2 linked regions of the Drosophila melanogaster genome follow. The protein of the gene in region 2 binds, or shares a complex with, the protein of the main gene of each other region. Each region holds a gene or a part of one and is shown on either strand. Other genes may lie near its edges. The genes, in order: Ilp5 and InR. A codon is read from its position in the direction of its gene.

Region 1 (2,891 bases), on a different chromosome or scaffold from region 2:
TGGGATCATCCTCGCTGTCGCCGTCGTGGCCATATGAGATCTTTACCTCAGTGGCCAGTTTTATGCACCGCCGTTGGACTTTTGGCTTTGAAGTTCTCGGCTTAGGTGGCGGCAATTCCGGAGCACCCACTGTACGTTTCCGGGAGCGGCTACGATCCAGGGAATGAGCCTGTCTCTTGTATCTTGGCCTATATGGAGTGATTTGAGTGGGCAGAGTTGGTGTGGCGGACCTTTTGTGGGCCAATTGCTCGTAGTACTCACATCGCGGAGCCACCAAACCCAAATCCACATCGGCTGCCTTGGTCTCTGGAGCGGAGAATCCCTTGGATATGGGAGTTTGATGGAAAACTTCCGCCAGGTCAGGTTCTTTGGTGTGCTTTTGGAGCGTTTTTGATCTCTCTTTGGAGCCACCATCGCGTCGTCGCTGCTCTCTCACTTCATTGGCAGTGGGTTCGATAACCAGGGTGGGACTCTGGAACTTCTCCCTCAGAGCCTCAATACTGTGCGATGGGCTGCAGGAGATCTGATGGCTCTGTTCGGGATTGATAGTTGGTTGATCCTGCTCAGCTGGAGGCCAGCTGTGATCCCGTTTGAGCAGATGCCTCTTGGTGGCCAGACGGTTGATTTTCAGCACCGTGTCCCGATCGATAGTGATGTCCTGCTGATGACTGAGATAGTCTGTTTTGATCTGGTTCAGAAGCTGCTGGTGCAGCGTGTGATGCAGTGCATCCACCTCGCCTCGTTGACGCGGGCGACTCTGCCTTTCAGTGGGGTAAAAATCTTTGTGGGGGAAGTCCCCTGAATTTATTTAAATTTATCTGTAAAAAACACTAATATTGGACGAGCACTGGGACTGGAGTTTGCTGTTTTGTTGTATGTTTCTACACTGTTTCTTTTTGTCTAGGCAACATAAAATAAACGCGCATAGACAAATATCCAAAAAAGAGAGGTATATCTTACCACATTTGGCTTGTTGTTCTTCCTCTTCGACGGCGCGCAGAACGGCCGAGTTGGCCAAGTTCAGGGGCTTCGTTATTTGATCGTCGACTTCAATCCTAAAAATAACGTAAAAATACAATACAATTAGTAAGAATCAATGCACATCGTATATTGTATGAGGTAAAATTTTAAATTTCGCGGTATATACTGCTTGTGTGTTTGGCGCACTGCTTCGACTGCTTGCAAGCAGTTAGCGCCAAATTTAAATTTATTTTTAAATATGCTCTCCTCGCAGGCATGTATTCGATTGTCATGCGTTCTTTTGGTATATGTTATAGAATTATACATGTGAACAGGCAAAAATGTAATATACGACTTTACTTTCTTAGATATACAATAAGTACATTACTTAAATATTTCATGAAATACAAACTTATGATCGTATGCACTATTTGCACGATAAGCCAATTAAACATATTGAAAATGAAAGCCCTTCTAACTAAAGACCATATATATCGTTATACATTTTGATTTCAGCTATTATATATAGATTCCGCCACCCCCTTGGTGCATCCGATTAAGCGAAAGTTACGCTAATCCATGGGCATAAATTAATGATAGCACCCTGCGATGTCCTGACATTGAAAATTAGCAAGTACGCTCCTGCCCACGCTGACCCCAAAAGACTAATCCAATCTGACAGGTGAAAGTGCGCCGGCGGATATAAAAATGGCTGACAGCGGCGGAAACTGCACCACATCCTATCCAGCAGCAGTTCCAGCAAGGCAATGATGTTCCGCTCCGTGATCCCAGTTCTCCTGTTCCTGATCCCGCTCCTGCTATCCGCCCAGGCCGCAAACTCGCTGCGGGCTTGTGGCCCCGCCTTGATGGACATGCTGAGGGTTGCCTGTCCCAATGGATTCAATTCAATGTTCGCCAAACGAGGCACCTGTGAGTATCGGCTGCGTTTTTTTGGGGTTTGGGGTTTCCAAACGGCACGAACTCACTTATTTTACTTGCAGTGGGCCTATTCGATTATGAGGACCACTTGGCGGATTTGGATAGCTCCGAATCTCACCACATGAACTCACTGTCGAGCATTCGGCGCGATTTTCGCGGCGTTGTCGACTCCTGTTGCCGCAAATCGTGTTCCTTTTCCACGTTGAGGGCATACTGCGACTCCTAAAAATGCTGCGATACCTGGTCCATCAGTTTACATACATACATATATGAGACATGTTACGTAAAAGTATTAAGTATAAACTATATGCACGGCTTTGAAACTTGAAACTACAATAAATAAGCGCAATTCGAAACATCGCTTTTTAATTTCTTCAAACATTAAATATTATAAATATTTCGATAATAATTTTAGCCTTTAAAAGTGAACAGATACACTAAATGGTTAGCAAAAGAACAATATGAACAATTTTAAACACACTTTGATATATCCAAATTCTATTATAACAATGTTTATTTTTTTCCATACGAAAATATGCTCCTTTGAGCGGAAGGAAAATCAAATTTTGATTTAAATCGCAGCAAGTTGGGTGGAAATTTTGCACACAAACAAAACTATGCCTTTCGCTTGCCTGGCGATTTTCTTTAAGCTGGCAAAAAGAGTTTTCAACTTTAATTATAATTTGCTTGAAATGTTTTGCTTTCAACGCATCATCTTAATCTGGGACGAAATGTTTTGCCTCAACAAAACGAGATAACAAACAGAAATATTTAAGCTAAGAAAATGTGCCTGCTGAGATAAGACCTTAAAGAATTTATGGACGACAAAGTCCAGAGATAATCGCCAAGCTTTAAGCTTTTTCGGCAATTTAAGACGAACGTCAGCCATTCCTCATTAGATCCGACATTGACCTTTTAGCTGGGAACATTTGGCAAAAAATCACTCACATCTGTCGGCCTCAACTTTAATTAGTTGATTAATTTGAAGGAAG
Region 2 (5,093 bases):
AACAAAGGAGAAAAAGCAGCAGCGGCAGCAGGGCAAGAGTGCGAAAGGGGCAGAGGGTGGAGAGGGAAAAGAAGCAAACGCAGCTGAAAAAAGTGCACACAAAATTGTTTGGCTGTGTGAATGTGTGTGTGTGTGTGCTGTTTCGCAGCGAAAAAGGTCAATGACACCTGTCTGTTTGTCTCGCTCGGCTCACACACACACACATACAGGCTTATCACCGGCCACTCTCTTTCGGCAATCGTGCCCTCTCTTTCTGGCCTGCGCGCAGCTACGTTTAGACATGTGGTCAGAGCATTTTTTTTGTTTTTTCTCGCTTTAAAAGGCATTCGTGTTGGTGGCGGCATGTGTGTTTTTGTTGTTCGTTTCGGCACTGTTAATTAGTGTGGCCAAATTATGCGCCAAAGCCGCCAACAACTCGATGGTCATACGTCATCAACAATAGCCGGACAAACAATTTCCGGTTTTTAGCCACACCATTAAAAAGCCAATATCAGAAATAACATGCACAAAAATAAAATAATAAAAATACAGAGAAACAAAAGCAGGCGCAACAACAACAAACTTGGCCCGGGTTCCGTCATTGCCTCATCCTCTATAGATCTCTTCTGTTCTTCTGCTTTATTTTGGTTCTATTTCAGCAATTTGTTATTGCGGCGACTTATTTTTGTCGCAGCACGCACACACACTCGCACTTATGCTCGCACACACACACACACACACACAAATGCACAGAGAGCAGGCAGGCAAACTCGATTTAAAAATAAATAAATTACGCACAAATACAAATACATTGGCCAACATTCTTCGGGCCTCGTCAAAAATATAGCATGATTAATACAAAAATGCGCAATTCTCTGGTGTTTTTTTTTTCTACTTCGGTTTTGCCTGTTGTTTTAACCCAACCTCCCAATTTTTTATGGCATTTCTCTCTTATTATACAATAATAACGCGAATATAATAAGAGCACAGCAAGTGGGCAGTTCAACGGCAACGCAAATAGCAACAACAAGCGCAGCGGCACGCCAATTAGTGCTTATGCTTTTTAATTAGCAAGCGGACCCATCCCCACATTTCCCCATTTTCCACCTTCCCGCCCACAAAACCACTTACCCGTAATATCTCCACGCCAGTTATTTGGGAAATATCTTCCCATTTATCACTATTTCAGTACACCCACAGACCCCCGATCTATTGATCTGCTTCCGTTGCGGATACAACACAAAATCAAAAGCCCGTAAATCGTGGGTGTATCTTTATCTCGTTCTTTTAAAGGGATATCCCACTTTTAATGTCAACTTAAGTCATTAAAGTCTCAACCTGCTTAAGTTGGCATTAAATAATTAATGTTTATAAAATGAAAACATTGTAGAAGCTCCAAACGTTTTTACAAAGTCTCCATTAAACTAAATTTAATGGATATCTTATACATATACCTTAAAGATAAAAAGAAACCCGATTTATAAGGTCACAGTTTGAGCAAATAGTTTGATCAACTTTTTGGGATTTGTTTTAGCAAGTGAGAGCTTTAAAATTGTACTGGATATATTTGGCTGGTTTACTCAGCATTTTGGTCACTCTAATTACGAGCTCCAAAATAAAATAAAAAACAGCACTGTCATGACTTTTTGACAACCGCTGAAAGTGTGGTGTCCACCATACATTAAAAAACAACACATTTTCCAAAGTATAACTTTAGAATTATAAAGGTTTGAAAATCATGACAAGTCAACAGGTGAGTTCAATTTTATTTTTGAAATATTAAATAAAAAATTGAGTTTTGCAGGTGGTCCTGAAGAGGGGGTGAGAGCAACATACATATTAAAGCGCCTTTTAAGGAAAAATGTATGGGTGTTTAATGGAAGTCGACTAAGACACTTCTTTGAAGTTTATTGTTTTGTTTTTTTTAATAATTTATACTAATTCTATAAATATTTAATAAAATTCTATTGAATAGCTCTTATTGACGCTTGTATGATTAATTTTAAAACTTACCAAGGACAATAAGGAGACAGTCTTTAGCAATAGTACTAAGTAATTTCATGAAATACTATTTTTAATAATAATGTTAGTTACTCTTTTAGTGCTGGCTTAATTTAATGCAATGGAAAACTTATCTGTACCACTTTTCAAAATGCGTGCAACAATAAAAAATAAACCAGCACAACAACAACAACAATAATAAAACAAAAACCGGCAGCAATCGAAATTCTTTCATTTCTTTTCCGCCTCTCTTCGCGCAGCCGCTCTCCGCACGACAGAGAGACAGAGAGAGAGAGAAAAAGAGAACAATGTTGGCTGCGCCGCTCATTCACAAAACGGAGACGTAAAGCGGTGTGCGAAGAAGAAGAACAACAACAGCCCAAGATATGATAGATATGGAACAACAACAAAAGGAACAAGAGGAACCGGGCGGAGAGAGGAGGAGGAGGAGAGCAAAAACAACTTGGCATAAATTGCTGCTGCGTAGTAATTTCACGAGTATTTTCCTAGTTACGTTCTCACTACTATTATTCATTTTATTATTATTTGTTGTTTTTGTTACATACCCCTTTGCAACGGTTTTGTTGTCGTGCATTGTTGATCTAGTTGTTGTTGTGTCACCTAATTTTTGATTTTTATTTCTATTTGTATTTTATTTTGGTATCGATTTCAAAATAGAACGACGCACTTTCCCAGACGCAGGCGTAATTAAATTTTCTTATGTTTTATTCGCGTGCTTTCTTTTTGCGCCGCAACTTCACAACATGCTGTGTATATATAAATAATAGGAGAGCGCGCGTGTGTGTGTGTATGTGTGTGTACACAAATTTTATTTATTTATTTACCGTGAATTTTACTCACACACCCGGACAAGCCGCACTCTCGCCAGCACACGAGAATCGCCCGCACTTGTATTTCGTGGAATTTCTTTAATTCGAACTCCACCGACCTCGCACTATTGCTCTGTATTTTGTATTTTCGCACTTTTCATTCACGAAATGCTGGGGCACATAATTTCGCCTTGCACAGTATTAGGTATCGGCAATTCACTGTGGCCTCTATTTGACAGCGATGATTTTCCGCACGACGAACACACTCACAATTCCAATTCACGGCGACCGCGGCAACGATCTCAACGTTTCGAAATCGCGTGAAACACTGCCAGCCGTTACCCTTGTTGTATACGCGATTTTCGGTTTAGCGCGTTTTCCAACTCTGTTCGGTCGTTTTCGAACTCTGTCTTTTGACCGCTTACAGAACTCTGTTAGTGCCGGCTGTTACACTAGCGCGCCACCTATAGCAGAGCTCTTCGTTTACCAACACGCCATGAAGCCCAATACTGAATCCTCGCGCACTAAAAACGGATATTCCATTTGTAAAAACTTTTATATGAGCATAATGTCATTAGCAAATATTACATTCTGGATCACTTTTTTTTCGAAAAATTTAGAAAATATAATAAAATAATGGCGCTATTATTGTGTCGATTTCTTAATGACATAGGAAATATTTTTATGTAATCATTGTCCAAGAGCATCTACTTTCCATGCAATCAAGCATAATCATTTCCTTGAACTCCCCGCCTAGGTGATAAATACTAACTAACTACAAATACTAGGAGCTGCTGTAAAACCAATTTAAACCAATTTTAAATATTTCGCTAGGATCTGCTTTTTGGGGTTTGGCTTTTAGAAACGCAAGTTTCAAGTTTAAAGATAGTGCGCCATACTTGAATATCGTAAATTGCAAGCAGTGCTACGTTTTACTGCTTTCCGAGTTGGCGGGCGCATTAAAATGCACTGCTTTCCCAGTTGGCGGGCGTTTTAAAACATGCAGACAAGTCTGCTAACTACTCATGGGTAAAATGATCAAAATCCAAGGAATGGATCACATATTTAAAATTCAACTTGGTGTTTAAAAAAATCTTTGAAAAGATGCATAAAACAGTACAGTCTTTATACTTTATTAAAAATAATTAATATAAAAAATAATATTTACCAAAAACATTCAAATGATGATTCAAAATTGCTTAGTTAAAAAAGAAGTTAGCAAAAAACACTTCTTGTGACCATGGCAAACTTCACCTTATTTAAATTCGGCTTGAAAAACTTAAATATTCAGTTTAATTGAAACAGTAGACATTCGGTTTTAAAAATTTATTTTGTTTATTTTAAAGTTTCCTTCGTTTTTGTAATATTTATTTTCTCTTTTTTTCATGTGTTTGTTTTTGGAAAGAAAGAAAAGTACCTAACAAGTGTGTTTTCTCTTATAAAAATTAAACGTACAATTATACAGTGGTTTCGGCTTGTTGCGGTTCTCCTTCGTTTATTTATTGATTTTTTTTTACAATTGTATGATTTGCATTTGTTTGTTGCTTTTATCTATCGTTTAGTTAAATATATAACTACTAGGAGAGAGTTTAAATAATTATTTATGTACTTGTAGTTGACTCTGTTAAGTGGTTGGTTGTTTGTTTTGTGGGATGATTTGGCTTCTATGAATAAACTGCTATTGGGCCCATGTGTGTGTTTACAGTTTAAATTTTATAACAATAACAAATTATGATACATAGTTATAGCTTTAATAATATTATAATTAAAAATCAATCGATAAATCCAAGCAAATGAAGAGAAGAGGATTCTGTTGCATGCGTCACTAAAACAGGAACCAAAGCCATCTTGTTGGGGGCCCAGGAGTGTTCTCTTCCTCTTCTACTACTGCTCCATATTAATTTGAAATGTCTTCGATATATTTTACAATTTGAAATTGATTTTCTTTTTATTGTTTAATGTTGATTGGCTTTACAACTATTTTGTTTTATAATTTAAAATTATATAAGTGTGTGTGTGTGTGTGTGTGTTGGTATTATTTTTACTAATTTACAGACAGTTCTAGCCCAAAAAGTTGTTTGATAAGAGGGAAGTATTCGCATTTTTTGTGTGTTATCCAATCGTTTAAATAGTATTCCTGATTCTTTTTGCTTTCTTTTAAAGGCTAAAATTAAAATTTGCTTATAAAATGTGGCTCTTCTTGCTACGACTTCTCCCTATTTCTCTCGTGAGGCTGAGTTTTTGTAAAGTAGATTTTGTGTTTTCGTTTTGTTTCGCTTAAAT

The links.
Region 1: the proteins of InR (region 2) and Ilp5 are in contact, whole or in part, in a cryo-EM structure (PDB 8CLS), measured with the Drosophila melanogaster proteins. Residues at the interface, in NP_001138093.1 of Drosophila melanogaster: Ser341, Met342, Asp343, Arg345, Phe363, Leu365, Asp367, Leu368, Tyr392, Arg393, Phe603; in NP_996037.2 of Drosophila melanogaster: Pro31 (codon at 1,818), Met34 (codon at 1,827), Arg38 (codon at 1,839), Gly44 (codon at 1,857), Phe45 (codon at 1,860), Asn46 (codon at 1,863), Ser47 (codon at 1,866), Met48 (codon at 1,869), Phe49 (codon at 1,872).

The regions. Positions count from the first base shown.
Region 1 is NT_037436.4:9,822,710-9,825,600, reverse strand, and holds Ilp5 (Insulin-like peptide 5), read left to right. Parts: upstream 1-1,703; 5' UTR 1,704-1,727; coding exon 1,728-1,890; intron 1,891-1,961; coding exon 1,962-2,125; 3' UTR 2,126-2,252; downstream 2,253-2,891. Other genes in the region: CG43897 (uncharacterized protein), read right to left, coding at 1-798, 961-1,055.
Region 2 is NT_033777.3:21,616,181-21,621,273, forward strand, and holds the start of InR (Insulin-like receptor), read right to left. Parts: upstream 3,142-5,093; 5' UTR 2,842-3,141; exon of another isoform or gene 2,547-2,841; intron 1-2,546. UniProt on the Drosophila melanogaster protein: Has a ligand-stimulated tyrosine-protein kinase activity. Binds 3 insulin-like peptide ligands.